Linked DNA regions of Macaca mulatta. The protein of the gene in region 2 interacts with the protein of the main gene of each other region in a biochemical or structural test. Links are inferred from orthologs where the notes say so. Each region holds a gene or a part of one and is shown on either strand. Other genes may lie near its edges.

Evidence for each region.
Region 1: the proteins of ITPR1 (region 2) and CABP1 form a complex in vitro, tested with the Homo sapiens proteins (2 studies listed by BioGRID). The link is inferred for Macaca mulatta from reciprocal best matches to the Homo sapiens genes ITPR1 and CABP1.

The regions. Positions count from the first base shown.
Region 1 is NC_133416.1:127,982,019-127,985,834, forward strand, and holds part of CABP1 (calcium-binding protein 1), read left to right. Parts: intron 1-2,276; coding exon 2,277-2,307; intron 2,308-2,577; coding exon 2,578-2,721; intron 2,722-3,114; coding exon 3,115-3,224; intron 3,225-3,454; coding exon 3,455-3,602; intron 3,603-3,816. UniProt on the Homo sapiens protein: Modulates calcium-dependent activity of inositol 1,4,5-triphosphate receptors (ITPRs). Inhibits agonist-induced intracellular calcium signaling.
Region 2 is NC_133407.1:143,427,573-143,431,388, reverse strand, and holds part of ITPR1 (inositol 1,4,5-trisphosphate-gated calcium channel ITPR1), read right to left. Parts: intron 3,567-3,816; coding exon 3,429-3,566; intron 140-3,428; coding exon 14-139; intron 1-13. UniProt on the Homo sapiens protein: Inositol 1,4,5-trisphosphate-gated calcium channel that, upon inositol 1,4,5-trisphosphate binding, mediates calcium release from the endoplasmic reticulum (ER).

The DNA.
Region 1 (3,816 bases), on a different chromosome or scaffold from region 2:
TTCCCACCTGACCCTGAGTTGCTGCACGTGATCTTCCTGGCACATTAGTGGGCATCCCTGGCTCTACTCCAGGGCAGAGAACACACATTGCTACTGCTGTGCCCGGGGAGTGTGATCCGAGGACCAGCCGTCAGTGCTCAGCAGACCAGCTCTGGTGGCGGGCACAGCCCGTGAAGGGGCACCCAGCTTTGCTGCCCCCTGGGCTCTGGGTGTACAGGAGGAACGGAAGGGGCTGCGATGGAGTCAGCAATGCCTGTTCCTCCTGAGTCCTGCAGAACTGGGCCCTGGAGAAGTGGGAGGCTGCTTAAAGCCCGATGCGTGGGGTCCTCGGGGGTGTGCTCTGCACGTATGTGTACACACGTGCTTACTCGCTCACTTTCACTGACTGCTGGGATGACCCGTTGCACAAAACATCCTTTTTGGATGGTTTTTCCAACACATATGGGTTTGTGTTGGAATGACTGCGACCTACCCTTGAGCCAGGCACCATGACCAGCTTTTTTGTTTGTTTGTTTTTGAGACAGAGTCTGACTCTCTGGCCCAGGCTGAAGTTCAGTGGTACAATCTTGGCTCACTGCAATCTCCGCCTCCCAGGCTCAAGTGATTCTCCTGCCTCAGCCTCCCGAGTAGCTGGGACAACAGGCATGCACCACCATGCTTGGCTAACTAAAACAGGTGTTTTTTTTTTTGTAGAGATGAGGTCTCACTATATCGCCCAGGCTGGTCTCGAACTCCTGGTTTCAAGTGATCCTCTTGCCTTGGCCTCCCAAAGTGCTAGGATTACAGGCGTGGGCCACCGTGCCTGGCCCATGGCGAACTTTATAGGCGAACGTCCATGCAGTCATCTCAGAGACACGCCTCCCTTCGGGTGACTCCTACCCCCGGCCTGGCGGAGCTGGGAGCTTGCAGTCTGCTCCCTCCAAGGTCACACACACTCTCAACGCTGTCCTGCCACACAGAGCCACCTCTGAGCTCTTGGTCCTATGCACCTGGTTGTCCCATGAGATGTGACTCAGCAGCCCTTCCCTTTCTAGATGATCTGCAGATTTTCTGGTGTTGTCTTTTGTCCTGGGGCCAGTTTGGAGTGACTGTCTCCACCCACCCTGGCCCCGTTGGCTGGAACGTCCTGCATGCACAGTGGAGGTGCCACACGCTCACTATGGCATGCCCGCATGTCTGTGTTCACGAGAGGTATGCCCACAGCTGTGCGAGCCTCTTCAGGATGGGCACACCTGCCTGGTGTTCTCCCTGCCCAAAGGCAGAGAGCTGCAACACGGGGGAGGCTGGACGCTGAAGGCCACTTTTAGAGTGTACTAACCAGGTCCAACTGGGCACCTGTACCCATTTCATGCCCGTCTGTCTCCCTCCTGGGCAGGCCTGGGACAACTGGCACCTCACCAACCTGAGCTTCCTCCAGGCCTGCTCCTCGGAGGTGTCTCTGCCATCTGTTCTGACGCCTGGATTCGGGGTTGCCTTGATTGCCCAGGAGACCTGGGCACTACTTGAGGTTGGAGACATGTGCTTTTTGGACCCTGGCTGCAGCCAGAAGCACTGGTGGCCCCTGGGGTCCTATATGGTGTCCTGTGACAGGGCAACGTATAGGGATGGGGCTCAAATTGGAGAAGGTGGGGCAGTGCCTGGGAAGCAGGCACAGCCCCATTCTGCTGCCACGTCTCCTCCTGATTCCTCCCTGTCCTCCTACCCCCACTTCAGGATGGCCCGGCCTTCTCTCCCCTCCGGCGCCTCATCTGTTGTCTTGCAGCCTCTGTCGCCCTGCTCTTCCTGTTTCGTTGGGTGGTGCTCTCTTCTCCCTGTTGTGGCCTCCCTGGACCCTGTTTTATTTGCAGGTTTTTGCCACTAGACCAACTCTGTTCCCTGACTCATTTTTTTTTTTTTTTTTTTTTGGAGACAGGGTCTCACTCTGTTGCCCAGGGTGACAGAGTGCCATGGTACCATCACAGCTCACTACAGCCTCAAACTCCTGCTCATCCATTCTTGTATCTGGAACAAGGGGCTGGAGGCACAGAGGTTCTGTGCCCAGGCTGGTGGGGCTGGTGGCTCCTTGGGAATCTCTTGTTAGCGGTCCAGGAGCTTCCATGTCTAAGCAAGATGTGGGGTTTTCTTTTCCCCTCAAGGATCCGATCCAGGCACACTTCTGCTGCATCCTCGTCACCTCCTACCCAGTGCCTGCTGCCAGTTGGATGGCCCCCAGGTTAGATATTTTGTGACTTCCAGGTCCCTTGTCGCGGCTAATAGGACATGTTCTTTTGTTTCAGGATAGATCACTGCGACCAGAGGAAATCGAAGGTAAAACTTGGCCCCTTGGGGGAAAGGACTGCCTAACCCTCCATGAAGGTGTGGGAAGGGAGGTTGATGGGAAGAGAGGCCCCTGGGAACGGGCTATCTTCTGTGAAACCAGCTGCTGAAGGTGTGCACAGAAGGCAAGAGAAATACCCCAGCATCCTGGGAAGCTCCTGGGCCCCTCTTTCCACGCTGGTGGGCCTTTGGGCTGCCTTTGCCCACAGAGGATCTGCAGGTCCTACCCCCAATGACATCCACCTTTGCTCACTTCCCCAGAGCTCCGAGAGGCCTTCAGAGAATTCGACAAGGACAAGGATGGCTACATCAACTGCCGGGACCTGGGCAACTGCATGCGCACCATGGGCTACATGCCCACTGAGATGGAGCTCATCGAACTGTCCCAGCAGATCAACATGAACCGTGAGTCCCTCTACCAGGCACCTGTGTCCCTTCCGGTCCTCACCCTTGCTGTCCTCTGCAGTCAGACAGGACTGGCTTCAAATTCTGCATCCACCTCTTTCCAGCTCTGTGATCTGGGGCCAACGACTTACCCTCTCTGAGCCTCAGTTTCCTCACCTGTAAAATGAGGGCCGAATTGGAGGAGTGGAGCCCAGAAAGTAGATTAGGGAATATCTGTAAAACAGCCCAGTAACTGGCTCACAGGAAGAACTGAACAGAGGGCTCCTGTTATTATTAAGTTTTTCTCTGTCTGATGAGCAGTTCAAGGAGGGGTTGCCCATTCTGTCAGTTGTCTACTTGGAGACAGGGAATGGGTATTATCGGGGATGACCTAGCCCTTTCCTCTTTTTCCAGTGGGTGGCCACGTAGATTTTGATGACTTCGTGGAGCTAATGGGGCCTAAACTCCTGGCAGAGACAGCAGATATGATTGGTGTAAAGGAACTGCGAGATGCTTTCCGAGAGGTAACGGGCAGAGGCAGGCAGGCATGGGGGCAGCTATTGGAATCTTATCTGCAGGATAAATACTTCAAAAGAAGCCTGAGCCCCAAGTCCCAGATCAGGGGAGGGAGCTTGGGCAGAGAAAGGTCTCTGGTAAAGGGGGAAATGACACTGGAGAAGGAGCTCAACTTTGGGACCTGATGCTGCCAATCGCCATGTTGGGGCGACCTCTCCTTCCTTCCTGCCTTCTCTAGTTTGACACCAATGGTGATGGGGAAATAAGCACCAGTGAGTTGCGAGAGGCTATGAGGAAGCTCCTGGGCCATCAGGTGGGACACCGAGACATAGAGGAAATTATCCGAGATGTGGACCTCAATGGGGATGGACGAGTGGACTTTGAAGGTAGGTGGGGCTTGAAAGTGGGAGAGAAGCAAGCCAGCAGTGGCCATCTGTGGAGCCCTCCGATTGTGTATCCATCATGTAACCTATCAATACACTCTAACTTTCCAACCCCCAGCCCTTTCATCCTCCTATCCCTCCACCCACGCCCCGCTCTAATCCACCTCCCATTCCTTCCCCATGCATCTCTTCATGCATCTATCCATCCATCCTCTAT
Region 2 (3,816 bases):
CCTCAAGTCTTACCCCTGGGTTGAGAAACAGGTTTATGTGTTTATGTAGCAAAGCTTGATTCTGCTGGTTGCCTGCACAGAAATTCTGCAAAAATTCATGAGCCAGCCTCATTATCTCTTGCATCTTGGTATCTTCGGCCTGTGTGGGAGGAGAGAGATGAAAGCACTGATTGCTGGGCCAGGAGACCAGCTTCTCCTATACCCAACACCTCCTGCTAACGTGGGAGTCAGAAGGTGTTTGCTGGGGGCCTGTTGTGGGTAAATATTGAGGGGCTGCACTGCTGACCCTGAAAAGAAGCCAAAAACTTGTCTATGCTCAATGATGAAAGTGAAGATCTTATTTGGGTGGGAGGGAGCACTGCAGAGTGAAGGCTAATAGAAGGCATCCACAAGTCCATCATCCAGCAAGGACTGAAACTTCTGAACCCCCTACTTCTAAAGACAGGGAGTGGCTGGGCACAGTGGCTCATACCTGTAATCCTACCCCTTTGGATGGATCACTAGAGGGCAGGAGTTTGAGAACAGCCTGGCCAACATAGTGAGACCCCCATCTCTAATAAAAAATAAAAATAATAAAAATTTTAAAAATAAACAAAAACAGGGACTGACAACAGAACAGGGGCTGACTTCCTCACTGATGCTGAGTAGTCATTTTCCCTCTTGGGTTCACCTTTTTAAGTTGTCCAACCTATTAGACATTAACTTTTGCTATCAGCTTACATGGCGAACTGGAAATCTCCTTAGATTATACATTAGAACAACTGTGCCTGCCATAACTCCTTTATCAAGTACAATTTTTAACCTCAGACTTAGTTTCCCCATCTGCAAAATGGGGATAATACCCTCCCTGGCATTTCACAGGTTGGATTATCTGATTCATACATTAATAGCATAAACTCAGTATTTGTAGAGTTAAATATTCTATAATAAGCCAATTCTATAAAACCCATGACCATTGTGTCCAATTCTAAACAAGCAAACATTTAAGAAAGTAAAAACAGAACAAGAATTTCTAAAATGGAAATCATCCTTCATATTTTTACAGCCCACAATAGTCTTCCTAAGTCTTCAGAGCCATCACCTCATTTCAGAGGCAAGAGAGGATAGCAGGTAGGAATGCAGGTCCCCAAACCTGACTACGTTCCTCTTATCCCAGATCTCCAACTTCCTGGCTGTATGACCTGGAGCACATTTCTTAGCCTCTCAGTGTCGCTGTTTACTCATCCATGAAAAGGAGATAACAAAAGTGCACACTTCATACGATTGCTATGAAGATTAAATGAGAAAAGTCACATGAAGTGCTTAGACAGTGATTACTCTGTAAATGTTAGCTACTGGTTCCGGGCTAGACTGAGGTCAGCAAACTTCTTCTTAAAGGGCAAGGCAGCACATACTTTGGGCTTTGTGGGTACAGAGGGAATATCAAGGACATTATATAGGTACCTATGTGACTATTTTAAAATGTAATAACCATTCTTAGCTGACATGCTGTTCAAAACAGGTGGTGGATTAGATTTGGCCCATGCCTATAGTTTGCTAACCCCTGGTCTAGAAAAATAATTCTGTGATAAAACAGAGCTAAGGGAGAAAGGTGAGCTCCCAGCTTTGATAATCAAACCAAAACAGAGGAAAATTTAAAAGGACATTAATAGCAAGTCCCAGGACAACATAATGGGGATTACATTTTTCCCTTATTAACAGGAGGAGTGGTGAACCTTCTAGCTCTAAGAAATCAGAGGGCTTGGGATAGACAGCCACTGCTGGTTGACAGCAGTAACCTTAAACAGTTCCACATGCCTCCAGTCCTCCTGTATAAAAGGAATCTGCTGTGCACAAGCTAAGTGAAGAACCTTTGTGGTGTGAAGTGGATTTTTCCAAGGTAAGCAAGCCCCAAAGACATCAAGTCACAAGAGGTTACCTGTGGAGGATTCCTCCACCATTCTTTGGAAGTCCGTGCCCATCCAAAAGTAAATAAAAGCGTGCATGTGCACACACACATATACACACACACACACACACACGATATTCTGCCTTTGAGTCACCAATTCCAACCACATCTGGTTACCTGTAGATTAATCCCGCTCTATGAAGGCATGACTCTCATTAGGGAAACTGATGATATTATGAGACAACACTATGGTCAGTAAATGATCCCCTCGCATTCCTTACACAAGAGGAGGTAGATCAGCTTGTTGGTTCTGGTCTAAATGATAGGCAAAGTTTGGATGATATGCACACCTGTATCAACTGCAAATTAGCTATGTTATTATACCTATGACAGGGATTACGCTTGGACTGTATTCGTAGCTATTGAAAGGCCTGACCTGCCCAATTCATATGGTCCCCATGACTGAGGAGGAAGTTCCTTTTGCAAGAAATTTCCTAGGGTGGAAAGCGACAGGCACAGGGAAGGCAGCAGGTCCCAGCTCCACAGTGAAGTGGAGTCAGCTTCACTGTACATAGCTGTGCCATCCATGCAAGTTACTGAACCTCTCCAGCTGCAGCTTTCTCATCGAAAATGGGGCTGAAGATAGCACCACTCATCTCATCCATGTGTCTTGAGGATGGCAAGAGCTAATAATGTGTATAAAGGCCTCCGCATAGCGCCTGGCACCCTGCAAGCACCTAGAAATGAGCCTTCATCAGGTGACTCTTCTCTAGCAAATGAGTCTCTCTAGCAGTTAATAGTCAACTCAAGAGACCTGAGTCTGAGCCCATTACCTCTAAACACCCCCCAAAGCCTCAGTCTCTTCATCTGTCAAGTGGGCACCACACAAATACCCCAGTGGGTCTTGTAGGCTTCAACAAATGACTTCATAAGCGTCTTGTCAGCCTACATTCACTCAAAGCACTGTCAGCCTGCTCCTGCCTCTGTAAATCAAATACAGATCAATGACAAATACTTATGTGAAAAATTAGAGGCAAAGTACAACTTCCAACAACAGAAAAGACCTACATCAAAGCATCACCTGATAAATCCAAATACTTAAGCAGATGTCAGCATCTTAGTGAGGACCTCAAAAGTGGGCACATCCCCTGTTCCCACATGCACTTAATAGCTGGTGTTACTTAAATTGCTTGAGTCACATTGCAAATGAAATTGAAACACACCAACCCGTGGGTAGACAGAGGTCTAAGCTCTGACACAGACCAAGATGTCTGTATCCAATGCGGCTTGGGAGTATGGAGAATAAATGGACTCTCTTTCTTTACAGAATCTTAAAACTGGGGATGAGGATTATTCACGGGTGACTGTACTTTATTTTTCAGATGCTCTGTTTCATATCAATATCTGAAATTGCTTTGTAGTCACAATAGTCACACTGGATGCATTTCTTCACCAACAATATCCAGATGTGAAGGGTTTGGGGAAACCCAGGAATCCGCCCCATCCTGGGAGCAGCTGCTGAGCGTGAGGCCCCACTCACCTTCTCATAGGGAATCTGCAGCAGCTCCAGCACCACGGCGTGTGCACCCATGTTCCGGAGCAGACGCTGCTGCTGCTTCCTGCTCTTTCTCACCGAGGCACTCTCCTGAACACAGAGTTTGCTGAGCCGAATCAAAATCTAGTAGAAAGAAAGAAATCAGTCTCAGAAAACTAGGAACTACAGCTGGAAAACAGATTGCAGGGGGTGGTGGTGGGCAGGTAGGCAAAGGGAATAATGCATTAAAAACCTACAACGAAATTCCTTCAGTATGTGGCATTTCTGTTAATTCCATCAAGCCAAATCCATAAGGCTAAGGGCACGTCTTCCAGAATAAGCAGGGGATAATGGCTTCAACAACAAGTGGGACAGTTTCAGAGATATCACTTAA